Lonchura striata: one gene and its partner. The protein of the gene in region 1 interacts with the protein of each later gene in a biochemical or structural test. Links are inferred from orthologs where the notes say so. Each region holds a gene or a part of one and is shown on either strand. Other genes may lie near its edges.

The links.
Region 2: the proteins of FLT4 (region 1) and VEGFD form a complex in vitro, tested with the Homo sapiens proteins (2 studies listed by BioGRID). The link is inferred for Lonchura striata from reciprocal best matches to the Homo sapiens genes FLT4 and VEGFD.

The regions. Positions count from the first base shown.
Region 1 is NC_134617.1:6,550,780-6,566,806, forward strand, and holds the start of FLT4 (vascular endothelial growth factor receptor 3), read left to right. Parts: upstream 1-9,841; 5' UTR 9,842-9,981; coding exon 9,982-10,039; intron 10,040-16,027. Other genes in the region: nuclear factor 7, brain, read left to right, coding at 722-994, 1,561-1,656, 3,272-3,505, 3,885-3,904, 4,639-4,754, 4,852-5,396. UniProt on the Homo sapiens protein: Tyrosine-protein kinase that acts as a cell-surface receptor for VEGFC and VEGFD, and plays an essential role in adult lymphangiogenesis and in the development of the vascular network and the cardiovascular system during embryonic development.
Region 2 is NC_134604.1:100,086,621-100,102,114, reverse strand, and holds the start of VEGFD (vascular endothelial growth factor D), read left to right. Parts: upstream 1-8,141; 5' UTR 8,142-8,635; coding exon 8,636-8,725; intron 8,726-15,494. UniProt on the Homo sapiens protein: Growth factor active in angiogenesis, lymphangiogenesis and endothelial cell growth, stimulating their proliferation and migration and also has effects on the permeability of blood vessels.

The DNA of each region.
Region 1 (16,027 bases):
GGCCCGGCGCGCGCTCGCACGTGACTGCATCACATGCAGGGGCCCTGCCCCGCCCCCTCCACGGGATCCCACCCAATGAGCTGGCGGGCGCGCGCCGTGTCCGCGCCGTGATTGGTCAGGGCGGGCGTCAGTCCGCGGGAGGGGCGGGGCCGAGGTTCGGGGTGTCGGAGGTGGGAGAGCGACGGGACGGGCTGGACTGAGCTGGACTGGACCAGAGTAGGTCAGACCGCACCGAACCGAACTAAACTAAACTAAACTAAACTAACCTAACCTAACCTAAGCCGTCTCAGCACGGTGGGGTGCCCGGGACGGCGGGAGGCCGGGGCTGCGGTCGGGGAGCGGGCGGTGCGCGCCGCGGGACTCGAGCCGCAGGAGCGCCGCACCCGCAGCGGCGGCGCCGCACCGGCCCGGGAGCCCCTCGGGGTGCGGGTGGGTGCTCGGGCCGGGTGACCGCTGCGCTGGGGCCCGGCGGGGACACAAGGCCGGGCCCTGTCAGAGCAGTTTTGGTGAAGTGACAGAAAATTCAGAGTTGTTACTCCAAAGGGAGTGACCTTCGGCCAGGGCTGCTCTGTAATTCGGGGCTTTCCAGCCCTGCACACACCCCGTGTAGCAGCTGGACAGGCCCCGAGGTCAGGTAACCAAGCCTTGCCCGACAGAGGGATGGGGGTTTGTGTGCGGGGGTGGCAGGAAGCTCAGGAAGCATCCCTGTGTGCCCGCAGGGATGGCCGGCGGCAGCCAGGACCGCAGCCTGCGGGAGGAGCTGACCTGTGCCATCTGCTGCGAGCTGTTCAGCGAGCCCGTCATGCTGGACTGCATGCACCACTTCTGCAAGGGCTGCATCCAGCAGTACTGGGACAGCTGCGCGCACGGCCCCTCGTGCCCGCAGTGCCGCCGCAGGTTCCCCGGCCGCGCTTTCCGCTCGCACTACCTGCTCTCGGGGCTGGTGGAGAAGGTGCGGCGCTGCGGCTCCCAGGAGCACCAGCACAAGATGCGGGTGAGTGGCTTCTGCCAGGCTGGGGAGAAGGGGACAAGTGCCACATCAGCCCTGTGCAGCCGTCACTCCTGCCACAGGCCGTTCCCCCTGCATGAAGCCTTATCTCACCCGAGTACATTGACATTTGTGTCTCTTTCCTCTCCCTATTTCCTTACAGCCGTCTGTCTTTTGAACACTTTTCTTTTGCATTTGTTTCCCTCACTGCTGTGTCTGATTCCAACCACAGCTTTGTCATTTCTCGTTTAAGAATGTGGTTCCCAAGTGACAGGGGGGTGAGGGCTGCTTGTGCCAGGTGCTCTGCTTGAGGGGACAGTCCCTTCACAACACGCAGCATTTAAAGCTTGTGCAAACAGATATCCCAGGATGGAGCTCCCAGTCTTAAAAATCAATTGGATTCATCACATGCACAGATGCTTAATTCTCAAGGCTGTGCATCAGGTGCTTGCTTGTCCTTACAGCCTGTTGTATTCTCCTCCTGGCACTGACCACAGGAATTGGGACTGCTCCTGAATCAGCAGAGTGCTGAAATGGCCTCCTTACCTTCCTTCTGTTCCTTGTTCCTGCAGAAGCACCTGGAAGATGCTTTGCAAGCTCGTCAGAAGGAGATGGAGAAGTTGCTGCAGAGGAAGCGCGTGGTGCAGGAGGACATCTGCAGCCTGACGGTAGCACCCTGTGGGAGCTGCTCTTCAGGCAGCTTCTGGGGCAGTGTTCACAGAGGATGTGTGTGTCTTCAGCTGAGGTCTAGCTCAGCTTCCTGTAAAAATCTAGATGAGTAACAGTGGGGATGTACACAAACCCCCTTGCATGTAGGCACAAGCTCATCACTGCTGGATATTCAGCAGAGGTTTTGGGAGGAGCATCAGCACTCATTAATGCAATGTTTACAAAATGCATTGGTGCAGCAGAGCTGAGGCCTGGTGGGCGGTGAGAGCTGTGGGCAGCCTGCTGTGGCCCTGCAGAGCTGCCTTTTTGGGAGAGCATTTAACTCCTGGCAGCTCTAAAATCCTCTCATGTCGGAAGGGATGGCAGCAAAGCTGAAGGAACTGGGTCACTGGCAGGGTTGGCACTACAAGAGTGGTGGCTGTGTCACAAGGACAGTATTGGGATTCACTGCAAAGCTCCGAGGTGAATGAGGAGCCTGAGTGCTCTCCATGGGTTTGAGAGGGACCAAGGCCCCTCTAGGTACAGATCTGTGAGGTGAGAACAGCCACAGGCTGACTGTGCTGATTTCTTGAGTGGTATAAAAGTGTTAAAACCAAGGAAGGGGAGTTAAAGGAAAATGGAAGTAGTTAAAAGATGAGATAAAACTGAGAGGGGAAAAAAGCCCTGTCTTCTGACTGGAGCCTCTGACCTGCCAGCCTGCTCCATTTCAAACCTCTGCCCTCTTGCCAGATGTGGAATAGACCTCTGAGATTAATGAAGAAGTATTAGCAAATAAGCACGTGTTTTCCTGTTGCTGTGCAAGAGCTGAGAGGTGTCTCAAGAGTAAAGGAACAAATCACTGATGTGAACAGGGAGGCCCTGCACCTCCTCTGTGGTTCTGGTGTGTCAGCACAAACACCTGCTAGAGCAAGAAGAGGCTGGTGAAGCTTCAGATCCTGAGGGACATGGGTTTCCTGTGAGGAGAAAGGGATGTGCACTTCAGGAAGCACTCCTCGAGAAAGTAATGAGGGCTAAGGTTGCACTTGGAGATTAAAAACTTAAAAAGATTTAAGGAAAACAAAAAGTCATTGGCTGTCTCTTGTAAACAGGCAGGAAGGCAGTGAGAACACGGCAAGGTTGGCTGGCAAGTAAACAACTGGGAAAAAGTGACCTCTGGATAGAGCTGAATGGGATTTTATCAGCCTTAATGAGAGAGATTAGGTTGTGCAGCTTGCCTATCAGGCAGCTCTGCTCAGGGCCTGGAACAATGTGAAATAAATGCAGACTAACCTGAACAGCTGAGTCTGCATCTCCACAAAATTTAAAGAGCTCCAGTCTTGCCCACAGGCAAATTCCTGGTGGTGTGGGAGAGGGCTGTGGCTGCGTGTGGGGATTTCTAGTTACAGTGACCAGGCCTTTGGTGGAGCTGGCTTTTTGGGTTTGTTGGTTTTCCCCTTTAGCTCTGCAGCCTTGAAGGTTGTCCTTGTGTCCTGTTCTCCATCCAAAAAGTCATTGCTATGTCTGAACCTCAAATTTCCAGGGCTCTGTAAGCAGAGTAACAGGCACAGCCATCCTGTGCACCTACTTGTGTGTTCTGGCTGTTGGACTCACCTTCTGCCTCTTCCCTCTGCTCAGAAGGTGTCTGGGGAGCTGAACTTCAAGATTCGGGCTGAGTTTGCTCGCCTTCATCAGATCCTGGAGGAAGAGGAGAGAGCTGTGCTGGCAGAACTGGGTGAGAAGGAGGAGCAGACACTGGCTCAGCTGCACAGGCATGTTGGCCAGCTGGAAGAGGGGATGGCAGTGCTGCAGAGGGACATCAAGCATGTCAAGCAGACCCTGAGCAAGATGGAAGATGTGTCACTACTGGAGGTAAGATGCTTTGCTGACTCTGGCAGGAGGCTGAGAGATATTTCAGGATCTCAAACTGGGATGTGGGAGTCTTAAATGAGAGCACCAGGCTGTACCCCATCTCTCATCTGTTCTCCCTGCCATCCCTCTGGATTATCTACCCAATCCCTTGGATCTGGAGACTTTAGCCACAAGAGATACAGTGACATCAGTTGTAGTGGGTCTTGGGAGCCTTCCTCATTCTCCATCCAAGTGCCCAAGCAGTTTTCCCCAGGCTGCAGTTCCTGGTAGCTTGGTTTCCTCTCTCTGTGCTGTGTGGCATCAGGAAGTGGACAAGGAATTTATTTGTGCAGCTGCATGAATTAGAGTGCCTGCTAATTCTCTCTGCTTCTCACTGCAGGTGGAGAGCCTGGATATCAGGTATGTGTCTGGCATGAAAGAAGCTGATTTGCTTTTCAGGAGCTTATCTTAGTCTCTGGCTGGGACCACATGGGAGACACACTTTATCTCAAGTTTTAAAAGCATCACAAATTGCTCAGGAAGTTGCTGGTGCTGTGCAAGGTGGAGGCTGGTCCCCAGCATACACTGGATGCTCTTCCCAGGGAGCATCCCATGTGTTGACATGGCTGGAAGAGTGGGTAGAGGAGACAGTGGTTTGGGATGGGTGCAAAAGCCATGCATGCTGCAGGAGGGAACAGACTTTGGGTGCTTCATCTTCTCCCTGCCCCTCCTCAGCTTCTTACTACTCATGAGGCTGCAGAAGAGACCCTGAAGTGCAGGTTTGTCTGAAGCTGGGAGTAGCTGAGGGCCAGAACTGCCACAGGGATGTGTGTCCTGTCCCCTCCCTCCTGATTCCACAGGCCCAGCCTATCTGGCCATGCAGGAATCCTGTTGGGTGTGCTGGGTGTGGGTTTGCCAGGAGTCACTGCTCCACAAGCAGTGCTGCTGCCTCTCTCTTGGGCACCTCTGTCCTGAGCCACTCACTGCACTGGGGACAAGGCTGCATCAGGCAGAGCAAGCAGAGACATTTGTGTCCTGTCTTTACCAAATCTGTCACGTGCAGCACTGTCCTGCAGCCCTGCCTGTGCTTTTCATGCCTGCACTGGCAGTGGCTCAGCAGAGGGATTGACCCTGCCTGCCTCTCTCCACCCCAGGCCCTCGGTGCGTGTGGAGACCCAGCCTGCCCTGGACCTGCAGCACTACAGGGACAGCCACAGTGGTCCCTTGCAGTACATCTTCTGGAGGCAGATGCTGCGCTCCATCTGCCCTGGTGAGCACATGGCTGTGAGGGATGGGTGTGGTGGGGCAGGGGTGCTCTGCAGAGGGAGCGTACAGCTGGTAAAACATCATGCTTGATGTTTCCGCAGCTCCTGCCCCACTCACCTTTGACCCTGAGTCAGCCCACCCCAACCTGGTCCTCTCCAGGGATCTGACAGCAGTGACAGAGAGGAATCGAGCCCAGCCCGTGCCCATCAGCCCTCGGCGCTTCCGCCAGTGCGTCAACGTCCTGGGCTCGCAGGCCTTCGACAGCGGCCGGCACTACTGGGAGGTCTGGGTGGGCAGCAAAACCAAGTGGGACCTGGGGGTGGCTGCTGAGGCTGTGGACCGGGCAGCCAAGGTCAAGCTGTGCCCAGAGAACGGCTACTGGACGCTGCGCCTGCGGAACAGGACAGAGTACTGGGCCACTGCCAGCCCCTGGGTGCGCCTGGCTCCCCGCCAGCCCCCTCGGAAAGTGGGCGTCTTCCTGGACTGCCAGGAGGGCTCCGTCAGCTTCTTTGATGCTGGGGACATGTCCCACCTCTTCACCTTCCACCAGGTCTCTGCAGAGAGATACTGCCCCTTCTTCAGCACCTGCTTCAGTGACGGGAGGGACAATGTGGAGCCCATGCGCCTCTGTCACCTGGCCCTGTGAGGGACCAGGGTGTGCTGGAGACCCCGGCCTGGCTCCTGTCCGGGACTGCACTCGAGGCCAGTTCTGAACACACAAGCCTGAGCGGTGTTGGAGGAGCTGTTTTGGTTTCAGTTTTGGGAGGAAGGAGGGGATGAGTCTCTTCCCAGGTCCTGTCTGCCCTTCCTTCCCTGTGCCATGGCTGCGGTTGCCACAAGGCACTGACAGGGGTTCCTGGCACCTCTAGCAGAGCAACCTGCCTTCCCTGAGCGCAGCAGAGTGCACTAACAGCAGCCACGGGGCTGCAGGGGAGGGGGCTGGGAGTTGCTGGCACCTCCTGTCTCTCTGTGCTCCCACCCGTGACCCCCGTGGAGCAGGGCAGCGGTCCCGGGGCACCATCGGGTGCCTCAGCCCCACGTCCCGGCCATGGCATCCCCAGCGGGAAGAGCTTCCCGGGGCTGGGCTGCGGGCCGGCAGCAGAGGGAGCCTGGTGCGCGCCTCGCTTGCTATTAAAGCTCATTAGAAATTCAGTGCTGCCTGCTCGGGGCTTGTGTCCTGGGGGTTCTGCTGCTCTGGGGTGTGGCACAACCCGGGGGCACCAAGCAGTCCCCCAGAGCCCTGCTCATCTCGCAGTGGATTTTCACCATTTTAAGATTTCACCATGTCTGGCCTGGCTGGCTCTTAAGGATCTGTACATGTGAAAAAATGCCAAGTCCCAATTCTTTCCAAATTCGGCAAGAATGTGGCTCTTTTCCTGTCAGCCAACTGTGGCCCTGCTGGAAGTGCTGCACCTGCAGGAGGGCAGGCGGGGTCCCTGGGGGACAAGTCAAGGGGGTTTGGCTGCTGTGGTTTGTGACCAGGGGGTGCTGAAGTGTCTGCCTCATGAGTCAGCAGAGCTGCTGGGATGGCTCCAAGCCTGGCTGATGGAAGTGGTGGGTGGGAGGGAGGATGGCAGTGTCTGGGGCGGGTGGAAATGTCATGTTTTTCCCACCCAAATCCATTCCAAGCTCAAAGCAGAGGCCAAAGCTCCCCAGTACTGCACAGTCCCCAGTGCTGGCTGGAGCCAGACACCTCCAGCAGAGGCTCAGCTTTCTGCAGCATGGCTGGGGCTGGGTGTGAGGCTTTCCAGCTCCCACAGCTGGGCACAGGACACTAGCCGAAGCAAGGCCTTCACTGGCCACCTGCCTGCCCAGTGGGGATGGCACAGGGGCCCTGTTCCCCCGTGGTGCCACAAGGGCCATGGCCTCTCCTGCACACCCCTACTGCAGTGTGCCAGGGCTGAGGGTGCCTAAAGCCTGTGCCAGGGCAGCAGAGGAAGCCAGAGGCAAGGATGTCCCATGCAGGGTTCAGGCAGATGTGTCCCAGAAGCACTGAGGACAGCCCAGGGCTGCTCCCACTGCCTGGGAAGTCTCTGCTCTGTGCAGCCTTGCTCGGGGTTGGGTGTGGGGGGCATGCTGAGGGTTTGTGCTCCCTCCTGGCCCTGGGCTGGACTTTAGCCAGTGAGTGCTGAGCCCATAAACTGGACTCAGCCTCTTCTCCCAGCCCTCATTTCCTCTTGCTGCCCCACAGCCTCAGCTGCAATAAGAGTGGAGAAGACAGAGCTGTTGGCTTGGAAATGCTGTGAGCAGGGCTGTGGTACCCCCTGCGAGAGCGCCTCTGGAAAGGCGAGGCTGGTTTGGTCACAGCAGGGAGTTAACACTGGGGAAAGCTGAAACCCATCAGCTCCCCAGCCCACCCCAAACTGCAGCCAGGCCCGGCTGGGCAGCACAGCAGTGTCCCCGAGGTGTGAGGGGACACGGATCCGCCGGGCAGCGGCAGGGTGAGCACAGCCAGGCTTTGCTGTCTGCCAGCTCCCACTGCCCAGCTGCTGTGTGCCCTGTGCCACGTGGGCTGGTGTGATGGCACAGGCTGCCAGCGTGTGCCACTGCCTCCCACACCCTCCCCGAGCTGGAGAGCAGCCAAACCTGCTTGTCCCAAATGTTCCTGAGGGAGCACGTCCTTTCTTCTCCTGCTGGGCTGTGCGTGGTGGCCGTGGCAGAGCCACATTTTGGGGTATAATGTCCTCGCCTGGCCCTGCTGGCAGGACAGGGCTGGAGAGGCAGAGCAGCTCCTACATAGAGGGGAAAATGCTGCTCTGGACTGCCATGCATGCAGTGTTAGCCCAGTAAGGAAATGCAGTCTAGATGCTGCCTGAAAAACACATTTTTCTGACAAACCAGAGCGCCGTGGAGCAGGAATTATAAGCATGAATGCAGAATGCTACCTGAGCTTGGCCTGGGTTCATGCAGAAGGGGATAGGGATGGGAGAGTGGAATGATGGGATTAAAGCACCTCTCACCCCAGCATCCAGACTCTGCACCTGCCAGGACTGGCTCTCGCCATCTTCTCCCAGGTCCAGCCTGTACTCCTCTTGTGGGTTACCTCATTGTTTTGTCCCTTCATGTTCCCACCCCAGTGTCCCTTTCCCCAAGTTATGCTAAGGCTGGGCAGTGTCCAGCAGCTCCTGCCTTGGCAGCCTTCTGTGATCTGTGTATGTCTTTATCCAGTGCTTTGGGGAAGCCTTTGCTTCCTCGGATCCCCCCACGTGCTGGAATGGGGACAAGATTTTAAAACAAGATCCTTTTGTTTCCCAGGGCCGCAACAATGGAAAGGTCCCATCGGTCCCACAGTCGCCCTGCGTTTGTGATGGAAAATTCCCCGCCCGGCGGGGCGAGCCGTGCCGGTGTCCTGCCATTACTGCCATTAGATGGCAGCGTGGACGGGCTGGTCCTGCCGCCGCCTCACTGCGCCGGGGGAGGATGCCAAAATCCCTTGACTTTTGGGGTGTCTGTCCCTTCAGCCCCGGGTCAGACCCTCTGTTCCTCTCGCACTCGGATTCTCCAGGCACTCTGACTGTGCGCTTCGGCCAGCAGTTCGGTGGTGCCATGTGAATCGTTCCCCTGTCACTGTCCACCCCCAGCACCTCACCGCTCCCCTCTCAAGGACACTGACCCCGATGCTGTCCCCAGCGCGGGGACACTGCGTGGCTGCACCGTCTCTGATCACAGCCCCGTCACCGGGGAGGGGTCTGATCCTGTAACTTCAGCTCTTCACTTAGTGCTGGGCAGTGCCACCCCTTTGTGACATTCCAGCTCTCCCTTTTCATGGCAAGTTTTGGAAGTCTCTCTTCAAACTGTAGCGGCTTGGACACCCACTTGGGGTGAAGGGACATGGCCACTTTCTGCTCTGCTGAGACGCAGGAGGGAGGTGATCCAAGATGAGTGTGCTGAAGAGTGATGGAGTTTGCACTCTGGGCTTAAAACTCACTAATCAGGATGAGGAGAGTCGGGTAAAATAAATGCTATGGCTTAGAGTCCCTCTGAGGGTTGCAGGAGAGGGACAGGGTGATTTCTTCTGTGGGTTTGGTAACGTGAGCAGTTGAGTGCACCAGAAGTTTTCCTGCCTTTTTGAAGCCATGAGCACATGGCTTTCATTCAGGCTCTTTCTTCACTGCCTACAAGTGAGCCTAATTAATAATCCTGTGGGGCGCAGAGCGGGGCCGCGTTCATTTATCCGTCCAGCGCTCGCTGGGCGCACGGGCAGCCGGCCAGGGCCGTGCCGGCTGTGCCACCGCGCTCCCAGCGCTCTGCCATCGCCTCCGTCTGTGGCGCGTTCGCAGCCAGTTCGCTCCGAGCCAGAGCCGCTGCGGCTGGCAGCGGCAGCGCCCTGGGGGCAGCGCCGCTCGCTTGGCGTGTGCCTGCCGGAGATCCGTGCAGAGCAGTGCTGCTGGCGCTGTGCACGCATGGACGGCGTGAGCGGGGGACCCTACTGCAGCCCCGCTGAATGAGGGTGCGAGTGTGAGCACACCCAAGTGCGTGCGTGTCTCTGTGTGCCTCAGGGAGTGCGGGAGGGGGGGGGGGTTCAAGGGGGGTGTGCAGGACTGTGTGCGTGGGTGTGTGCGTACAGGTGTGAGGTGTGGAGCTGAGGGGGTGCGCAGGCATGCAGGGGTGTGTGCAGGCAGGTGTGTTCCATCGCGTGAGGTGCGTGTGCGCAGTTGTGGAGAGCGTGTTTGTGTGCATTCCCCCGCTCCGAGAGGCCGCGAGTGTGCACTCAGGCACAGACAAGAAACAGGCGATGTACGGGCAGTCTCTCACAAGTGCGGGGGTGCACACAGGTGTGAAAACGCACGCAGGTGTGGGGGTGCGCATGTACCCATGGGTCAGGGATGATGCAGAGCCACGCACATGGATGGGGAACACTCTTGCCCCCCTGACGCAGGGGATGCAGACCCACACACACAGGTGGAGACACCCAGGTGCGAAGGGATGCGCGCACCCCGCTAGTGCGGGGAGCGCGGATTCCCCGTCGGTGCCCGGAGCTGCAGGTGCGCTCCCCCCAGCCCCCTCTGCTCCCCGCCCGCCCCTCCCCGTCCCGCCCCGCCCGCCCGGCGCCCCGAGGCTCGGCGGAGGGCGGCGGGCGGCCCGGGCGGGCGGAGGAAAAGGAAGCGGCCCCGGTGCTCCCCGCCCGCCGCCGCCGCGCGTCGCCGCAGCTGGGGCGCGGCGGGAGCAGAGCTCGGGCGCGGGGCGCTCGCACCGCTCCGCATCGCACGGACCTGCCGGCAGCCCCGGAGATGAGGAGAGTTTGCACGCTGCCCCTCTGGCTCTGGCTCGGCATTGTCTCGGAGGCAGGTGAGCTGCCGGGGCTGCGGGCTGCCCTGCCCGCTCTGATGCCCGCTCCGCACCTGCGGGCGCGCTGGGGACGGGGCCGCGCCGGCGGGACGGGACGGGACGGGACGGGACGGGACGGGACGGGACTCGGCGCCTCCGCCCGCGTGTCCCCCAGACCCGCAGGGACCCGCACTTCCCGCAGCGTCCCTCACCCAGGACGGGGATGTGCCGTGCCTGGCGCTGCCCGTCCCGGGCTCCCATCCCCGGCGGAGACCGGCGCTCCCGGTCCCGGCGACCCCAATCCCCGACGGGGACCGGCTCAGTCCGCCCTGGGGTGCCCCGTCTCAGGCCGGCCCTGCCCGTCCCATCCCCGGCCCGGACGCGCCGCGGTGCTCGCTCGGGTGTCCCCGACGGCGGTGACAGCGTACCCGCAGTGACGGGACGGGACGGGCGGACCTGCCGCGGTCCCCTGGGGCCCGGGGCCGTGGGGAGCCCCCGCCGTGCTGGTGCCGCGGGTGTCTCGCTGCGAGCGGGGAGAAGCCTCACGGGACCCCCGCGGGAGGGATGCTGCTGCGCGGGGACGCGCCCGGCTGGAGGCCCGTCCCGGCTGTGTTTATTTATTTTTTCACGCACAGTCATTAATTTGTGTGTGCCGGGGAGGGAGGCGCGAGGAGGCGGGGGTCCGTGCAAGGCTGTCCAGCCTGCCTGTCCCAGCTCTGGTCTGCCTCGGAAGTCACCCGAGGCAGATCCCAGTTAAATGCTTTCCCTGCAGAGCCACGGCGGAGATGGGGCTGCAAGCCCTTCTAGCAAACAGAGCCCATGAGACAGGGCAGAGCTGGGTGGGCACTGCCAGGGCAGTGGGGACAGGACACCCCACCAGATATCCCTAGAGGAGTTCTTTCTCACACAAGTAAAGCATTTATAGCCCAGATCAGAGCAAGACTGAAAGTTAATAATGGTGGAAGCTTGCAATGTGGGGATTAATTTTGGCAGCATAAATAGAATTTGCTGTAGCATCAGCTCAATGACTCGCTATCACCAGTGGCATTTGCTGCTATCGTTGAAGTGAGCTCATGGGAGAGCTGCAGGTGTGGCATGAATAGCATCACCAGCAGTGTCACTGTCAACCTGCTCTGCCCAAAAAGCTGCTGATGTCTCTGGTGTCATGGGGCCAAAGGACACAATGGGTGGCTGGAGCTCAGGGGATGCTCAAGGAAGCTGGGCAGAAAGGAACCTGCTGCTGGTGGTATTGCAGCAGGAGCAACTGTGCAAAGCTCTCTTGTTAGCAATTTGTAAAGCACAGTGTAGCTGCTCCTGGGTTCTTTCATCTCCCGGAGGTGCAGGAACAGTGCCTGGGAGGCTCTGGCCAGTGCAGCTGTGTGGCCTCGTCGGCACAGGGCTGAGCAGAGCTTTGAAGCTCTTGGTGCTGCCTGATTAGTGCAGCGATGAAGGGCGATGTGGAGCTCAACTGGCGGATGGTACCATGGGGATTTGCTTCCCCTCCTTCCATTCTATCAATAAGGACAATTTGTCAGTGCGTAAAGGACCCACAGATTTCTCATTAACCATAATCCCAATGGGCTGCAAATATTTGCTCCCCTTGGAAGCAGAGATGTGTGTGTGAGACTGTTCCACCTGTGAAGGATGAAATAATCATCTCAGGATCATGAAAGGTCTGTTCTGGTGCCTGTTTAAATGGGCCAGTATTAGAGACTGCTGTGTGTAAGAGCACAAAGCTCTTACACATCCCAGCTCCATGATGCTCCCAGGATGAAATGGAGCTGGGGAGCTGCCCTGTGCAGGCAGTGAGATGGGGGGAACAGGCACAGGTTCAGCATTCCAGATCATCTTGGCCTCTCAGGGTAACCCTTTCTGGATGGTGATGAGACCATCCCTGAGCCACCATCTTCTGGACACAGAGCCCTGCTGAGCCCCCCACGGCCAAACAATCCCGCTGGGGACACTGGCTAGCCCCTTCCAAGGGCGTATGGCCATTGTGTGAGGGAAGGGCTCGTGCTTGTGTAGGACCTGAGCCGATTGCCTTGGCTGCTGCTGCTGCTCCCCTCTCGATCACACAGAGCTCCGGGCTGGGCGCTCGGACAGCCCCGCGCTGACCGTGCCAGCAGCAACAGTTGCCTGTGCAGCTGGGATTTGAAGCAGTTGCTTTATTGCAAGTAATAAACATGGGCCATTTCAGCAACACCCTTTCATTCAACAGCCCTGACTGCACAGCAACCCCACCAGGCTCAACCACAGCGCTGAGCCAGGGCCTCCCAGGGGAGTGGGTGTTTGCAGCCTGTGGTCCCTGGGGGCTGCCAGGGAGGGGACAGCCAGAGCTCCTGTGCCCTGCTGTCTGCTTAAGGATGATTTCAGATGAGTGAGCTGCAACTACCGCCCTGGGATTTGGCTTGGGCACGTGAGACCGTAGCTCACTGCCTGCACAAACACCCACCAAGGCATCACTGAGCTCAAACTGATGTCTGGTCAGAAGAACACTCCTCCAGCAGCACAATGCCCCCGGCCAGTGCAGGCAGGGTGGACAGGGCTTCCTCTGGTGTATCCCATTCCACTCTGCTGCCTCTCTCCCATGGGCTCGCTCCATGCAGGATCGCTATCCCCAGGGTTTCTCTTGGCCCCGCGTTGTTGCGGTGTTTTCCGGGGCAGGCGTGGGAAGGGCAGGTGCTCCCAGCCAGCCAGGAGGGAACAGGCTGTTCCCAGCATCCCGAGGCAGTTCCTGGAGAAAGAAGGGGAGAGCGGGATCCCACGGGAACGGCAGCAGGAGGGAGGGAACCGTGGCCAGGGAGCAGTTTCTCCAAAACCATAGGGGACATCCACCACACTCAGGAGGTTGCCTTGCAGAGCAGGAGGGGGTTCTCGGTGGGTCCCCAGGTCTGTCCAGCTCTCAGCAGCTTTGGGGAGCAAGGTGAGCCCTGGGGATAGCACCTTTCTCACCCACTTTCTCTTCAACCACTCCAGCTGGCACAGCAGAGGTGACTTTGCATTCAGCCTGCTGGACTGAAACAGCCCCAAAAAAATGGGTACAGGGCAGGAGACTCCTCAATCCCAGTTTGGGGGGCTGTGCATTTAAACCAGGTTGGTGGGGGGGAAGGCTGCAACAAGCTGGGGGTGATGGGGAGGTCCTGCAGGTGCAGGGAGAAGCAGAAAGCCCTGTGATGGCCAAAGCCCACAGGCTCCACTGCCCAGGGAAGGTGGGGTGGTTTCTGTGTGAGGAATGACTAAAGCTGCAGGGCTCTTCCACTGGGATAGACAGACTGGGGCACAGTGCCTGAGGGCTGCAAAATCAGAGCTCGCCTGGAGAAGGCAGCTCCTGGTGGATTCCCGTGTTGGGAGCATGGTGGGAGGCTGGTGGCTTGTTGCACAATGCTGAGCAGCAGTGGAGCTCACCTTCACAGGGCCTTGTGGGTGTGTTTGCCTGGGTCCATGGGCAGTTGTGCATGGGTTTGAAAGGAGAAAATCCACAGGTAGTTAGTTCAAGCTGAAAGCCCCCTTTTCCCACCTTAGGCTGGTAGCCAGATGTGCCCAGTGCTGTGTTTTGCCTTGACCTGTCCCAGCTTTCCCTGCAGCTCCTGCAAATCTCCAGCTGGGCGAGGGGCAGCAGCCAGGTACATGTCCCACTCCTGCTGTGTACTGTGGAGAGATCATGACCTCCTGGTGCATGCCACGGTTTTCCGGGGAGACCAGAGCTGAGCCTCGCCTTGGGCCAGAGCTTTTGTCCTTCATTAGGAAAAGAAATACTGCCGCAGCTGCACTGGCATCTAGTGACTGGTTAAATGAATTCCAGGGGTTTTATTGCCTCTGGCTATCCCAGACCTTTGTTTCTTATTTCACGTTGTTAAAAGAGGGGGTTAGCCAGGTCCCAGCGGGGCTTTTTCTCTTTGGTCAGAATAGTTCTGATGTTTTCGGCACAGCATTATTGCCCATCTGCGGTGCCTCATTGTTAAGGCAGAATAGTGGAAGCGGAGGTGGCCTGTGGTCAAGTCGGCGAGGAGGCACAATCCCTGAGCCCAGTGTGGCTGCTCCTTGTGTCGAGGAAATCACTCCATCTCTAGGTGCAAGTTCAGCAGAAGGAAGGTGAAAAACCTGGCCCTGCAGCAGCTGGTGCTGAAACTCCCACTAAGTTTTATAAGCTGAGGATATTAAGTGGGGAGTCTTGGAGTCTCTCCTGGAGTCATTTCCCTGCTGAGGTAGCAGAAACAGGTTTCAGCCAGTGACTTGTATTTCACCTTACAAGTTCTCCCACGAGTGAATTGTTTTTCTTGCTGTGTTTCTGCCCCCTCCTTCCAGGGCGAGGATCCCTCCCGCAGCCTCTGCGGCCAAACCTGGAGGTGCCGTGGGACGGACGTCATGTGCTAATGAGGGAGGATCGGTTTAGGGGGTCAGGAAAAGGCTCTCTCTGGGCAAACAAGGAAGACGTGGTGATGGGGGAAGGCAAACTTAAGTGCTACAGTCTCCTGTATCTAAGCACACAGTAACTGGGCAGCTGCTGCTCCCCTACTCGGGTTCTAGGCAATGAAAGACAACAAGGACCCCAGGGCTGTTCACAGGAAGGACCAGAAGAAAGGAACAAATCCTGGTCCTGATCCCTGATGGGCACACCTCTGGAATGGGCAGAGAGAAAAATTAGATGAAATTTTACCTGGCAGCAGCCAGCCCAGGGCCATTCCTGTCAGAGCCTGGAAAACCCCTGCTCTGTTTCAGAAGAATTAATGAAAGAATAAGCTTGACTCTGCTCCTGGTGTAGATGCATGTAAAGAGGGAAGCGATGGAGCAGCTCACTGATGTTTCTGGCACCCATTGTCTCTATGTGAGGAGTAGCTGCCCACCCATGTGCAGGTGTGGAGGGGTTAAGCATTCTCCTGGCTGTGAAAATGCCAGCCAGTGCACCAAGGCTGCCAGCCGTGGTCTGCGGTGCCAGCAACGGTGACACAGCGCCCAGGCTCTGTCCCACCCTGGCCACACCACCCTGCCTGGCGAGACCACCTGCTCAGCAGGCTCTGGGGGCCAGGGTGTCCCCCAGGGAAGGGTTAAGCAAAGAGGAGCAGTGCCAATGCCAGGCTGGGTGTCCAGGTTCTCCCTTGGCGGAGGTCAGTGGTGGTTCATGGGAAAGGAAAAATTGGCAGCTGGGCCGGATGTCCCTGCATTTCCCCTCTTCCTGCAGCCGCCTGAACGATGTTCCTTATTTAGCTTTCCTGACGGACAGGAGGAATCTGATGGCGGAAACTGTCACTGCCTGATAACAGTTCAGGGACCCCTTTATGATGGGCGGCACGGCAGGGAACAGGGCAGCGCTGCCCTGGCTGGGAGGGGACAGCCAGGCTGGGAGGGGACAGCCAGGGCTGCCCTTTGCTCCGGGTTCTCTGGACGGCCAGGCAGGGTGGGAAGGGCGCTCGCAGCCTTTCCCTTTATGCTGTTCTGTGTACAAACCCTCTCAGTGCTACTAAAAAGACTCTCAAGACCAAGAAGTGATGGTGTGTGTCTGTACATCTGTAATATTGACTATTTTTCCTTCTTTTTGGTGAGGCATCTGAGCTGGTGGAAAAGGGCCATGGATGGGCAGAGGGGAGGCATGGAGCAAAGCCACCCTGCCAAAGTCTGAGACCAGGTACTTTGTACTCACTGGGAATGAGGATGTGAAGGGGAGCCAGGTCTGGGATGCTCCAGCAGGAGCTGGGAGCGATGCCCAGTGCCACAAGTTGAGTACACACATCAGATCAGATGGGAGCAGATCCCATACAAGTGTGCTGCATAAGCAGATGAACACAGCAAAGGAGATGTTCCTCCATGTTTTGTCCCCAGCTTTTTTTCCATGAAAGGTGGCATCTTTTAGTGTCTGAGCCATTCTATCATATGTGCCCATGGTGACCAGCCTTAAAAATCACAAAAAGTCCTGGAACACAGCTTGTATGTCAATGTATCCATTGATTTTTGCCTTGCATCTGTTGGGGCCACCAGGCTGCTGCCATACCAGTAACAGCATTGTTTCCATGG
Region 2 (15,494 bases), on another chromosome or scaffold:
TTTTTAAATTTTTTCTTTAAATAAGTAACTTCTGTTTAAAGTATCTAAATAGTATTCTCTTTTTTTAATTGGAAATTTTTATATAAAATTTCTCAACTGTGTTTAAAGAATAATACAGAGATTGATATGGACTTAAGAATAAATATCTCATTATTTCACTTCGTTCTTGTCTTTCCCCTTTTCTTTTAAGCAGTGTAGGTTTGCTTTCTGTTCTCTGGCTGCCCTCCTGAACTTGGAGGATTTTGTTATGAAAACCTTGGCCAAAAGGCAGTGCTGGAGGCTTAAGTTCATGGTATATTCATCAAATACCAACAAGAGGGTGATTCCCAGATGGATAAGGAGGTCTCTCAGAGCTCTTGTGACATTATAAAGCACTCTAGTTAAAAACCTTACAGCTTTTTTGTGGCCAAGTGAACTCTTCTCTACACCACCACTCCTGGTGGGGGATCCATCCAGCTTTCTGTGCTACCTGAGCAGAAGTGCAGACTCCTACACTTGTCAGCAGATGTGGGGCAGCAGTCTCACCCACAGAAAAACAAGTTTGCATTGGGTGTGAGACCAGCAGGCTCCAAGATGAATGAATGAATGCCAGGTCACCCTCTGAGCTGCTTGAGGGCACCTCCTGTCCTTTGAGAAACCTTGAGGGCACCTGAAGCCTGGTGTTGCAGTGGATGGGCATTTCGCACAGGTGACTGGCCAGATGATGACGGATCTGAAATGTTCATTGGATCTCGTTTGCAGGCAGGGCTGGAGCAGCACAAACAATGTGGGGATGAAAAAACTCTGTAGAAGGGTCAGTTAGCCAAACCATCTTTTATTTTGTCTTCAATGGGAAGTATAGAGGGTGAGATTGACAAACTGTGTTTATGTTTAGCCATTATTGATAGCAATAGGATGTAATAGAACCAGGAAATGGTGGGTTTCTTGTAAAAACACAGAACTGCTTTTGTGTTTTAAGTGCCAAAAAATTCTCCTATTAAAGCTAGAGATTAACTTTGCAATATACACACTTTGAAGCATACATTTTCTTATCTAAACATTCAACAGACATCTCATCTATTCTCCCCTGCTGATGTCAGGGAGCTGATTTGTCCTTTTATTGGCCTAGTATCTGAGAGGGTCAAAGTAGAAAAACAAAATGTAAATAATACCCATTTCATACTCAAACTCTAAATTGCACCAGAAGTGTTTTATTTTCATATTACTGGTTGTTACCCTAAAATGTCCTCACATATGTGTAAATCCTGAAATTAACTTTCAGTGCTTTGCAATAGCTGTGTGCACAGTTTTGGGATGTTCGCTGCAAGGAGAATTATGATAAACCCTCTACTGGTTCTCTGACCTTCTGCTATGTGTGTACATATTGCTCCAAGGATGTCACTTCAGGATGCTACAGAATTAAGTAGGGAAATCACCTGTAGAAAATAAAGGTATAAATCCCTTCCTTACCACCTCCTTGCTGTCCTACTTAGCACAATGTTGTTTCAGTTATCCTTGGACATGTAAAAAAATTTTCTGCCTCTGAATGTTTTAACTTCTACTTCTCTGCCTGATCACTTAGTAGCTTTTATTTGCAAAAATAGCTATATGACTGGGCAAAGGCCGTTGTTTCTATGACGTTTTAATGCTGAAAGTTCCTACAAAAAGCTGCTTTGCGTTCAATGAAGACAGAAAGAGGCAGGGAGAGTGAATATAGGTATCTTTAAGCTGTCTTGTGTGAGGAGTTTCTTGCTGGTCTTGAGAGGCAGGATGTTTTCTCAGCATCTTCTAGCTGTACCCATGGGTCAAGAGTCTGGGGCTCTGGTATGGAAACCATTTCCATGTTTCTTCTTATTTCATGGCCACATCTCCCTGGGAAGAACTAGGAAGTAAAAAAAATCTGACCCCTGGAACTTGGCCAGGCACTTGAACTTGAGGTATTCCGTGTTGCCTTTAACCAATAACTTTTTTTAAAGTAGATTGGATATGATTATAAAGTCCAGAAAAAGGCCAGAAAGCTAATTGTGAGTAGATGTGACTGTGAGACTATTCATGTTCTGCTCTGATAGACAGAACAGAGTTCTGTTCTATCAGAAGATACTTATACCTATGGTTCCACCAGCTGCTTATGGGAGCCTGTGGCAAATTCTAGCCTGGTGTGTGAAGTACTAAGATTAAACTAACCTTACATTTTCCACTCCTGTCACAAAGTCTGCCTTACCTCAAGGAGTGTTGCGATGAGATGGGTGGAGCTCTCCAGAAGCACTTGAAGGTGATTGTGTGGTAAAGACTGCTTCAGAAAAATGTTCTTGCACAAATTTGCTTTAACTCTCTTGTCCCATAACACATAGTTGCTTCTTGACCTCTGAGAATGCAACAACCACTAGAATAAATGAAGATTTTCTCATGTAAAAGATGTTTCCTTGATGTCTTGTAGCTGCTCTTCTGGCACCATCCACTCTACGATCACTTGAATTAGATGGCTGTGAGACTCTGCTGGATGAGAAGAAAGTAAATGTCTGAAGTACAAGCTGTATTGTTGCTCTGCTATGTGCACTTGCTCAAGACATCACTAGAGCCTGCAAGGTTAAGGATGTTGATATCACCTGCAGTCACATCTTTCTCTTGAGAAATTCTGGGCTTGATGTGCACAGTGCAGCAAATGTCTGTTCAGTTACACAAGTTGGTGCAAGCTGTGCATACCTCAATTCCCAGAGTAATTTAGCAACCGTGCCACATATGCTGGAGAAAATGAGAACATATTATTATTCTCTACATTACAAGAACCCGTGATTTCAACTGCTTTGCTTGCAACATCTTCAGGATTCAGTAGTCTGAATACTCACTGTGTTGTGCACTTACTCAGACTGAATATAGCCATTGAACTGGATGTTGAATCCATCTTCTTGGTAACAGCTTCCTGCCTTGGCTTTCTGAACTGCTTCAAACCTGACTTGAACAAGTAGTGATCCTCAGATGCACCTGAACACCAGCCACTGCTTCACAGTCAGTCTGGAGGGGCAGGGGAAGATGTGAAGGATATCATCCAGTCAGAGTTCCTCCTCTCCTTCCTCCTCTCTTTTCTGTTTCACCAATCCCCTGCCTCCCCACCTTTCCCTTTCCCTTTCTTCTACCTAACTGCAAGACCTGTTTTATCTTTATGTTCAGCTTCTCCCACTTTTATGTAGAAAGAAATGAGAACTTATAAAATAACAAGTGAAATAAAGGCTCCTGAAGGCTACTACACACCTTTGTAATTAAAGTTTGATTATTGTTTCAGTTGCGCCCTCATTAACAGGTATGTAAACACAGATGGATATGAAGACAAGCAGACACAGAGCTCCCATTATTGAAGATAAATATGAATAACAGGAATCCAGAGAGAGGTCTTGCTCCCTGGATCAGGTATCTCTGTGTAGGTTAGACTTAGAAGTTGAGTTACCCAAACAGACACAAAAGAAGCACTGAAACAAAAGAAGCACAAATTTCTTCGTACTTGATATAAAGCTGTTGCTCAGCACAGCACGCATCCCCAGAGAGTCTTTCTGTCTTTCCATGCATTAGATGTCACAAATGTGAACTAGTGAAAGGTAACAAGGCAGCTGGGCTCTCCATGAGGTTGAGGCAGAGCCTGTTCAAAACCAGAGCAGCTACACGGTGTTTGCATCTCTCAAAGGCTCAACAAAAAGTGTTTGTTTGTGATTTGTATCTGCCTTTTGCAGGGGAGGACTGAGCCAGGGGATGCTGTGGAGAGCTGGGAGTATGCCAGCCCTTCAGCCAGGGCTGTGCCTGTAGCCTGTGCAGACATTCCCAGGCGAACTTTCAGCCAGCTAGATGAAGCTGTGGATAGCGGTTGAGCCACTGCAGCCTGGGGCGCAGCAGAGGCACCCGGTGGGATTTCCCCTCTTCCCTGGCCGGTTTTGCATCCTGCTGTGAGCTCCAGGTTTGCTGCAGCAAGCAGACAATTAAATGATCTAATTTAAGGGCAGCTAAAGAATAACCTGAGGAGATGAAGCACTGTTGGGGCTGGTGAGGGGGATGGCTCTGGATCTGGCTCTCTGGTGTTGTCCCCATCACTCCGCTAGCCTGGCTTTGGCAGAATCTTCTGGTGCTCTGAATTTGAGATTCTGTGCATGGGATTTTTCTTTTTTCCCCCTCAATTCTATCAATCCAGCTTAGTATTAGTGTGATGTTTCAAGAATTCTGCTATTTCACTGAAATTTATGATGCCAGTATCAATTTTAATAAATGTTGCTTTATTTCAAAAGAAGATTTTAATGTAATGATTACTTGATAATTAGTTTAATAATGTGTGCTAAGTGACCGGATTGCCATATAACTGCTATGTCATGAGTGTTTATTAAATGTAAATTAGATCCTTGTTTGCAATATTTTATAAACTCTCTCAGTTTTATTTTTTTTTCTATGTAGTTTTCAAGAAGACAAGTCCCCCTGTGTATAGATTAGTTAGAGGGAATGGGCAGACCTACTTATAGAATCATCTTGAAAATACTTAATAACCTTCATTGGGAATTGTGTTATTCTGGACATTGTGCCATACAGTTTTCAAGTCTGAAGTAGCTGGTGAAACAATACTTTCTTTGAAGTAAAGATTATGAACTTCCTTTCTTTAGCTCCAATTTCAACTTTACAAACTGATCAATTTAATTGGAGTTTATTTAGGGCATATCCTCACAAACCTTCCTTGATCTAAATAGTCCTATTGATTTATGGATTACTCTTGTGTTAAAAGCCTGAAATATCTTCCTTTGGTGCTTTGTTACATTTTTCCAAATGAAGATATTTTTTTTTGTTTGTTTGTTTAAGGTGTTCCCTTTTAATTTTTTCTGGCTAATAATGACACTAGTACGAGCCTTTCTGCAGGTCTAAGTTATTTTCAGATTACTGAAGGAATTTACTGTCTCATCTGAAAAGATTTCAGCTTGAAGAACATGAGTGGTTCAGCACTGTTAGGAAATTCTTCTGTTCCTTGGGTGTGCACACATGCAAGAAATGTATGAGTTAAATATGGTGCTGTTTTTTAGTTTAAGTCATCTGTACTGGCCTTATTCCTCTTTATGTGCCATGAAGGCCAACTATAGAGCCCCCAATGCATCATGGTGAGGAGTGCTAGTAAATATAGTGCACGTGGTCTGCCTATCCTATCATAAAAGTACCAAGAAATGATGATTAATCCATTCATTTACCAAGTTCTGGATCATTTATATGTTCTCTTCCATCACAAAAACAGACAGTAGGAATCAGTGATTCCAGGTTTCTGTGCAATGTGAGACTATTACTTTGGAAGAAAGACTCATAATTCAACTGTTATTGAAAAAAAATCATATATAATGCCTGTAGATGAATAGTTTTAAAGTTTTAATATGTATTGTTCATCCATTTCAGATATCAGTGTTGATGAACATTAGAAACAGATTTAACTAAACAAAATTTTAATCTCTTCTTGTAAAGAGCTGACTCATTGCCAAAATATTAATGTATTAGCTGCTTACCCAAAGGTGGCATAAATGCTTGAAATTTCAGTTCATTGTGCAGTATTTAGCATTGATGATGTCTGTGGAGCTGATTATTCAGGTACAAAAGTAATTTAAATAGTCATATAAATTTTATTTAAGCTTCTTTTTAGACAGTGCTAGATTTCAAAAGTACAAACCCCAAACCCTGCACAAATCTCAGCAGGTGGTTCTACAACAGCTGACTGAGATAAAAGATGAAACTAGAGTGTGTGTATTGTTAACTTATGTTCATAAATTAAATGAAAACAGAAGATTCTGGCCGGACAACAAGTCTGTTCACTGCTGTTGCAGGCAGTCTGCAATATAATCTCATCATACTTCTGAGATTCGAGCTCCAACACAAAAGTATTTAAAGTGTTCTCAAACACTAGGCAGGAAAAATCATAAGAAAGCTGTGTCAGGACCAGAGCTGAGGTGGTGCTGAAGAGAGAACCAATTCTTATCTGGAATTAAGGAGAGAAACAAGAACTATAGGGAATGGGATGAGCACTGTGATACAGATGGTGAAAAGAGTTTCCCAGAAATTCATTACGAGTTTCTCTGCTGTCCTACCAGCTGGTTTCTCTTGCTTTGCCTTTGCTTTCACTAACAGCTTTGAGCCAGCTTTAGAGTCCTCTGCAGTTAACAAAAGGGTTTTTCTTTATTTGCTAGTCTTTGTGTCTGAGTCCTAAGGGAGGGACTAGGTACATTTTGTGTTCTGCCTGCAGCATCTAACTTACAAACGGGTTTGATTCAGTGCCTGAGGGTCAGTTCAGTCTTCCTGCCAAAAAGCCCCCTGAAGCCAGAGGTGGGTGACCTTTTCTGATGAATGGTTTGCTTTGAGAAAGATACAGGCCTGGTCTTTCCAAATGTATTTGTAATTCAGAGGTGAATTTGGTAAGTAACAGCGATGAAATACAACATACAGAAAATACTACAGAGGTGTTTCTCTCCAACATTTCCAAACCAAATAGCTTTAATTTTCTAATCCTAGATTGCTTAGAGTCCCTGAAGGGCAGTCTGTGGGCATTTGGCACCAGCCCTACCAGGGAACAGAGCAGCTCATCCCTGAACAGACAGGCTGTGTAAGGATCCCACTCCCAGGCTTTAAGGTGTGCAGGCACATATTGCTTCCTGACTCTCTCGTGGTTCCAGGTCTGTGCTCCAGGTGATCCCATAAGTGAGAGGTGAGTATGGCCAGACACTCCCTCCAGTTAATGCAGGTCAATTGAGAGTTATTTTCATGTAGTCCTGAGCCCACAGAGGTTATTTTTGGTTTGATCCCTTACTCGGAAGCTGTGCATCCGCAGCAGAGGCATAGCCATTCCTTTTAGCAGGCCTTCAGCTCCTGCAAGGGGATGGATATTAATATCAGAAGCCAACCAGAGACATTAAATGAGGTCAAGGTCACCCTACATAAGTGTTAGATAACACAGTAATTTAAAATGATGAATGAAATAGTTTAAAGAATGTTAATTATAACCTACAGTACAGACATGGGATGACCCTTGTAGTGTGGGCTGTGCAAAACTGTGTGAATGTCTCTGGCACTGGATGCAGGGAGGTATGAGGGGGAGCAGCAGGTACACTGACAAAGCAGCTTTTTCACTCTCGTTTTGAAGAGGTGAAATTCCTGCTGTCCTCGTACTAACCAGTGTGGGGTGGTGGAGGAGGAAGAAAAAAGAAAAAAAAAAATAAATAGATTGCTTTCACAAATCAAGTGGGAAAATACAAAGCTAAAAAATTATAGTGTTACATATATTTTTTTAAAACCTAATGACAATTAACAGACAACAACTTGAAAGACTGGATTAAAATAATTTTCTTGCTAAGATCCATTTGTGGTCAATACTTAAGAAGAAATTATTTAACCTAATGGTAGGTAGAGAAGTGTAACTTGTATTTAAGACAGCACTTGCTTGGACATCAGAGGTAGGAAACCAGGACTCTGAAGTATTATGTACTTGACTGTTTTTAACAGCTGTGGAGTCTGATTCTGCAAACACTAAAACCTGTGAGAGTGGAACTGTTCTCCTGAATACAATATATATGAGTACAGCAATATGGATTTAACATATATAAGTATTGGAGTCTTTGTCTCTGCTATAATTTTAAATTATTGATCTTTGTTTTTAAATCTCTGTTTTAAACTACAGGAATATATAAAGAAAATACATACTTATCTTGGAGCAGAAATGCTCGTTGAGTTTTGTTGCAATAAAAAGAGATTTTGTCCTTTTATAGTCCAGCTTCATGAACTTTCTTCTGAAAAATAAAAATCTTGTTTGTTGTCAGAAATAGTTCTTAACTTTGCTTTTAAAATTTTATTCAGAAGCCCCTGTGACACATGAGATAGAACACATGAAAGTCTTTCTTTTTTCCTTTCCCTCCCTCTTTTTTTTTTTTTCTTTCAGTGCAGTAACATAAAATATGTGTGTGGTGTAAGAACGCGTGCTAAAGTTTCATGTTTCAGGTAATCTCCTTTAAAATAATGGGAGTCTAGATTGCATCAGTTAGTTTAAAAACTGCTATGCTATTGGTAGGAAGAAAATGGGATTTGAGCCAAAACTTGCCTGTGTTACTGCCAAAGTCTGTATCAGATTTAAGACACATGCTTCTGCAAGCTTCCACGAAGGTTGTGAAAAAAGTTTTCATACAGAGTTGGATTACAGCTCTCGGCTCAAAACACTGGCCATTACACTCCCATCTTAAAAGCCTGCTGTAACACCGAGCACAGAATCGAGCAGCTTTCCTTCATTTTCTGGACCACAGATGGATTTTGAATGTCTCCTTGTGTCTTGATGGAAGATATATTAACTTCATTAACTGGAATCCATACCTGATTGCTTGTGAGTGTGTATGTGTACACATACAGATATATATCTATTTAAAACCTTATCATGATTTTATTTCAAGTGTATCTAAGATCTGCTCTAAGAAATTACATTCTCTAGAGGAGCTTACAATTGTTTTGAGTAGCAAAGAGACAGATATTTACTCTCAGATGTTGGAATCCTTTGTGAGTTTATGAGAGAAATTCTGGAAGCCTTGCTGTGTTGGTGGTAGAGAAATGCCTTTTGAAACAGACACATCCAGCTGTACAACGACTGCGTAGTAACCTGTGGATTTTAAACATCAGAATGTACAAACCGTGGGCAACTGTGAATATCTTCATAATTTCTTTTCTACATCTGCTGCAAGGATCTGACTATGAGAACGGCTCTGTGAAGGTAAGTGAACTTTATTTACTTTGATTCTTAATAATACAAATTCCAGAATTAGCTCCATTTAATGTGCAAGGTAGTAGGTTTCTTGTTTTTGTAATGAATCGTTATTTTTTTGTTTGGTGATGGTTTAGTTGCAGAGGTGTTTAGCAGCCATAGAGGAAAATGAATCTACAAGGAATTTAAATCCATATTCTCTGTTTAATATTTTATTACTTCTTTTACTAGTTATTAAGTACTTGTTGTATACTTTGTTCTTGAGTTAAAATTTTAGTTTCAGTCATTGAAAATAAAAGAAAAATCTGAAAAAGAAGCATGAGTCAGAGTATTTTGAATATTTGGTAAATTCACTTTTTTTTATTTCAGGTATTTATAATTGCAGGAATTAGTATGCTGGCATTGAAATTTTCCCTGTAAAAACACGTGTTCATCAGTTGTTCACTTGTTTGGCAGATATCAGAGGAACATTTCTCTTTTCCTTCATTAGAAAAAGTTATATAGCATTTTGAAATAAACAGCAACTAGTAATAATAGAGCACATTGCCTGGAAATTAACTTTTCTTCTGAATATAGTACATGAAACAAAATTTAAGCCTCACCATGAGAGTAGGATTTTTTGGCTTTGAGACAATGTGAGAACATCCAGGGCAATCATTTAGAAAAATCAGAACAAAAACCGGAACAAGTTTCTACACGTGCAGTCTGTCCAAGATTGATTAATTCAATGTGTGGTCCAGAACAAATTATTTGTTTTTCACTGGCAGAGCAAAACAAGCTAATATTATTTTTTTCCACTTCAGAAAACCTCCTACTTGTAAGCAATGACCACACACCAGTCTGTGAGCCTTCTGCATGCTGACCTGTGCTTTAGGAAAGAAATGCTCAGTTGTGTGCCTAATTGCAGACTGCTGTTGCCAGCCCAGTAAGTCAGCAGTGGTGAGCAGTGTGTGCCTCAGGATGACTGATGCCTGATGACTGCTCACAAGCTTTTAATTTACAACCTCAGCAATCAATTCTTTGAAGGCATTAGGACCAGAGTAATAAGCCTTGTTTAATACATTAACTTTGTGCACTGCATGACAAATCACTGGTTTTGTACTTGCAGGAATCACTTCATTTAAACCAGAGCATGCTTTCTAATACAGAATAGTAACCATTTCATAATTGGCAGGGGTGATAATTCTAGCCACATGTGGGACGCAAGTTTATTCAGCGCAGAAGTAAAACCACTAGAAAGCCCTGTAATTGTAAACTTTGAATCCATACTCACTTTGCCTAGAGTAAATGCAAGAGCTCTCCTTGCTAGCTTATATTAGCTTATATTCATTCACTGTGATAAGATTGTCCATCCATATAATCACATGCAATTGTGATTATTTTCACTGAAATTTGGTTACCACTGTCAAGAGGCCAGCTTAGCCCCAGGCTACTGTTCTTGAAACAACTCACGGAGAGTTTCCAAGACTATCTTAAAGGAATCTTATAGGTCACACGCAAAAAGGTATCACACTTAAATGCTGTATTTCACTTGCTGATTGCCAAAAGGAAAAGATTGCTTGTTCTGGCTCTTTTGGTATAGATGGAGGCTTTTGGCTAATCTGTTGTTTTTCTTTTAATGTCTTACATAGAGTGTTAGCTCTCTGGGTTGTTTTCTCCTGTATGACCTGTGGGCTTCTGTATGTGTACACATGTGGAAATACACCACAAAACGTGCTTCATTTTACAGCGTTGGATGGCACACAGGGTTATGATTATTCTTACCATTTTCCCCTCAAATTGAATTTGCAGTACACAGAAATTATGTATTGCATTCACTTACCCTACCTTGTTGTTTTAGAGTTCTTTAAGATCAACAGCAGGACTGCCTGGATAAAACACACAAGGTCAGGATGCAGCTAATACACAACTGATGAGACCTAGGAAGGGTCAAGCACCAGCAACCTGCTCTGCCCCCTGTTATATGAATCCAGGTTAGGTGAGCTCTGCCCAGGACACCTGAAATTTTAAAACTGTTTATGCTTCAAACCATCAGGTGGCCTCAGTGTGGTATCATGCAAGAGTTTCAGGGGGCTAAGTGTTTAAATTCTCTCTTTTTCCCCTTCAAATATCCTGATTTAATCATGCATGAATATTAAAAAGCTTATGTACAAACTGCTGTGATCCAGCATCTCCATGGCAGCTGGCTTTTCCTAACCCTTCAAAAACTTTAAAAACTCCATCCTCTTCTGAGCACATGAATCCCTTTTCCCCACCATGTGCATGTATTCCTCACCTGTCAGAGCTCTTCCTTCCTCTCTCCATTCCCTGTTCTACTCCCAGCACTTGACCTGTGTTCCCTCACCTCCAGGACACAGGGACTCAGTTTTCCAATTGGTCTCTTTTTTGTGCTAGCCAACTGTCACCCTCCTTCCCACTTGCTTCCTCCTGGATGCAGACATCCTTCTTCTGTCACAGACTCTCAGGAGTTTTGTCCATTTTCCTCAGAGACAGCCCTAATGGACACTTTTCCAGTCATTTCTGACCACAGTTTCCCCTTCCCTTCTCCAACCATAGCTCCCTTCTTTGGCCCTGTGGTTTTAACTGCCCAAATTTTCCTTTTCCTGACCCATTTCTTGTTCTGATCTCCAAAGATGTCCTCAGCCTCCTTGGCCAGGCCTTGCCCTGCTCCATGAGTATTCATTTCCTTCCCCTCCCACAGGCAAATCCCTTGGTTTCCTGTCCCTGGATGCCAGACCCCTGTGGCCAGAGGGGCACAAAGGGCAGGTCCTGTGCTCTCAGCCCCACAGGCTGGACCTGCATCCATGGGTGGCCTGCACCCAGCTCCTGCTCTGCTCCCAGATGGACAGCAACCAGCACAGGACCTGACTGCTGCAAAGCCCTGGGAGGGCTGTGTGGGCTTTTATCAAAGATATCAGTGTACACATCTGAGGCAAAAAAAAAAGGCTCCTCAGGTGTCAAAAATTCTCATCTGTGATTCACGGTAGGGAAACAGAAAAAAAAATTTGTGCAGATAAATGATATTTTTTTGCTTTCTCTGTCAAAATGGTTTGACTGCAGTGGAGGATAAAGGAGGAGCTTCATCCTCTGCTGTGATCAAACCATTTTGACAGAGAAAGCAAAAAAATTATTATAATAATTTTGAGGCAGACATCTGGTATGGAAAGTTTCAGCCTGAACAGCGAATGTCTGCCAGTCAGAACACAACAGGAGCACAGGCTCATGGTGGGAAGCAGTGGGCAGCCTCAGACAGGGGCAGCACAGCCACACATGTCCAACAGGACTTGGCTCCAGAGCTGAACTGATGTCAAGGGCAGCCCTTGCCTTCCGGTGGCTTGGTTCAGGATGCCAACCTAATATATAAAGTCCTCATGGAATAATTAGATTTCCACATGAGTTTTCTGAATACTGAGAATTATTTTTAAGGTTTTTTTTTTTTTTAATCAGGAAATGCTTTAAAAATTCCTTATTGAAGTTCTTGTCCCAACAGTCTCTTATGTTTTGGAACCTCTCAGCTAGAGAACCGCAAATTTCACTGTCTCTCTTTCTGTCTCTCCCCCTCAAATTTTTCCTCACCTAGGGCAGCAACAGACATAAAATACTTTTTCCAGAATTTTAAAATTAGATGTGAAGAGCTATGTCCTATATTCATCAGAGCTGAGGCAAATATTTTGCCAAGAAAAGCCAATGATCCATCTGAGCTGCTTCTGCCTTCCAACCCTAAAACTGCCTCTCTAATGAGGCAGCAAGATTTGATCTTGGAGAATTAAAATCTCATTGCTTTTCTTCTCAATCCTTCTGCTTCACATTATTGATAGATTGTTGGGGGACAGGCAAGAGAAAGGAACAACTGGTCACTTCCAAGTTAAACAGACTCACAGCCTTTTCCTTTTGCAGAGGTGTTCTCCCCATGTTGAAACCTCCTTTGGTTTTGTCCAAGAGAAAACTACAGTGGATAGGCCTGAGGAGTCCCTGAACTCTAAAGCTGCTTTCTGATCAAAAGACCAAGGGTCAGGTGGGCTAAGCTAGGAGGTAAACATGCCTGCTGTCTGTTACATGCACTCCTTTCCCACAGCTAAATATTTCCTGCTTCTGCACTAAACATTGTTAAAGCCTCCAGCAGTCGCTCTTGCTCAAACAGATCTTCTTAATCTCCTGCTGTCCCTGTGAGCTGCACAGAGTGGGAAGCCACTTCCCAAACACAGCTGTACATGGTCCTTGTCCACTGGTGAGAGGGAAGCAGCACTTCCCCACTCTCCTGAGGCCCTGGACCACCTAAGTGGAAAGAGCCTTGCCCTTGGGAAGGCATGGAAATACTGGAGAGCCAGCCATGTTTCTTGGTTTCTAGAAAAGTTAAATTCTAAAAATCTTCCATGTCATGGGATCTCTTCCTCAAGTGCAACTCCTAAAGTTCCAGCAAAGTGCTCAACTGCTAGAAAAATCAACTTGAAATGTCACTGGGAACAATTTCTCTGTTTAAACTAGGTTTTTCATCTTCAAATCCAGCTTCCTTTCAAAGTTAGGAAACACTTCTAAACAAATATTATGAGATTGTGGTTTTCAGAACTATTTCATTCTTCCAGTTTCGTCTACTGCTTTTGATTCTCTGTGATTACCATATCTGATAGGCTCAATGAGCCAAAAATGTGTGAAAATATACTTACAGTGTTCCTGCAGAAATGATTGTTTGTGTTTTTCCTTCAGAAGTCAGAAGCTATCAGGGAAGCTATGAGGAAGGCCAATTTGTTCTGACTTATCTGCTACTGTCTTGACAAGGTGCACTGAAGGCAAACAGAACAATCCTGTTTTGTTGTTATGCCACAGAGCGTCTGTCCTTGGCTCTTATCAATTTGGAAAGGCAACTACTAACATGCTGCTACTTTATCAAGAGCAGTTCTTGCTCATGAGAAAGAGCAAAAAAATCCCTCCCAGCTACTGATCCAATCCAGTCCATCCCAGCTAGGATTTTAATGTCTGAGGATAGAGCAGAGCTTGGAAAAGTACACCAGGCTGTGTAGATTATTCAGATGCAGCATTTGACAAATCCACTTATCAGTGGTTTAAAATTAAGCACTAATTAAACTTTGCCATCAGTAGTAGCTCACATCTGAAAGTCTGTGAAACCAAGAGGAGGCAAGAAGGCAGGTTCAGAGGGCAGTGGGCCATCTTTTTTGATAATCAGTGGTCTGAAAGCAACCAAAACAAGCCTTCAGCTCAGGCTCAGCAAATGTTGCTTGTTTCTGTTTTCTGCAGCCTACTGGTACTTTTTTCCCACAGGCATTCGTGTTGTTTATAACCAATGGTGTAGTGGTATCAATGTAGGCTCCCACAGGAGGCAAGCAGAGAAAAGAACTTCCTGAGAACAGGAAAAAAAACCAACCTGGTGCAAACTCTGACTTGTGAGACCTCTGCCATGGTGTCTGCAGTTTTTGTTCTGATCAACACTGCTGCTATTCCAGACAAGGTTTATTTGTGTCTTATCTCCTGGGGACACCATCCTGGCATTTGGGAAAAATAAATAAGGTGCAGTTGTTGTAGGTGATAACTCATTTATTCTAATCCCCACTAAAAAACCCTTGTACCATACTTTTTATAGTTATCACACAGTGGGATCTGTAAGTCTTTTAGGCCTGTCTCTCAAGGCAAGTAAGTCCAGTTACAAAACTGGCTTTTACCCTTTCTTGAACTTGGCTTTGAAACCATATTGCTGAGGGGGAAAAATGACCTGAGCTATGGTGCTGCAGGGAAGTAAATCTGATAGGGTAACTTTCCTACAGAAACACCTATTCCTGAGAAATTCCTTATTCCTCTCAATATGTGCCATTCCCTTATCTACTTCTCCACCTGCTTCCTACCTCCCCAGCATGCTTTGCAAATCATCATACATCTCGCTGGGATTTGAGGAATGCAAACAAAATGCTGAGTGCCCCCACTACAGCTGCACAGACCCACTTTGCCCATGGGAAGACCTAAAAGAATTTTTTTTAACATCCTGGCAGAAGTGTGATATATGGGCTTCTGTACCAGTGAACAGCAGAACAACTGCACCGGCTATTTTAGCTTTCTTTCATTAATGAAAATTCAGCTTCCTTTCTTTATGAAGGACAGCTGAGCATTTTTTTATATTTTTCACCCAAATGTGATTTAAGGCGTGCCACCACTCAGCTGGTGGTAGGACGCCATCTAGGGTTCTTCTGCTTCCACAAGGAGCACAAACAAGGTGGGGTTGGACTGGTGGGATTTGGCAGTCCAGTGTGGGACCACATGAATGGGTTCAGAAAGGGGTGAGCGCCTTCCTCGCCCTCGGGATGCCGGGATGGGTTTGCCTGAGCCGTGCTTTCAGGGGAAGCAGGCGGAGTTGGGTTTGACAATTCATGGTCACTGCCTGCCGTGTGGTCACGGTGAGAGTGCAGCTGGGGAGGGAATTCTATTTGAGTCACGATGAAATGCAAAAAAGTTGCATCATGTTACCATATCGTGTGTCACTTTGCGCACAGAGAATGTGCCACAAAGCCAGGCAAAACTTTTCACTTTAATTAGCAGCATGACTCAGAAACCATGTTAGGATACTTTTCTGAATTGCTAGGGAAATATTACTCAATAAAAACTACAATTCCAGGAAAATGTGTGCGTGTGATTGGGGTAACATAAGTTCATTCATTGTTGGCAATGGCTTTGCTTTGTGAGTGACATTTTGAGACCCAGCTGTCCAATTGGCTAGTCATACCTCCAAAACATTTATTAAAGAGTCTTGGGGAAAACCCAAAAACCAATGAAA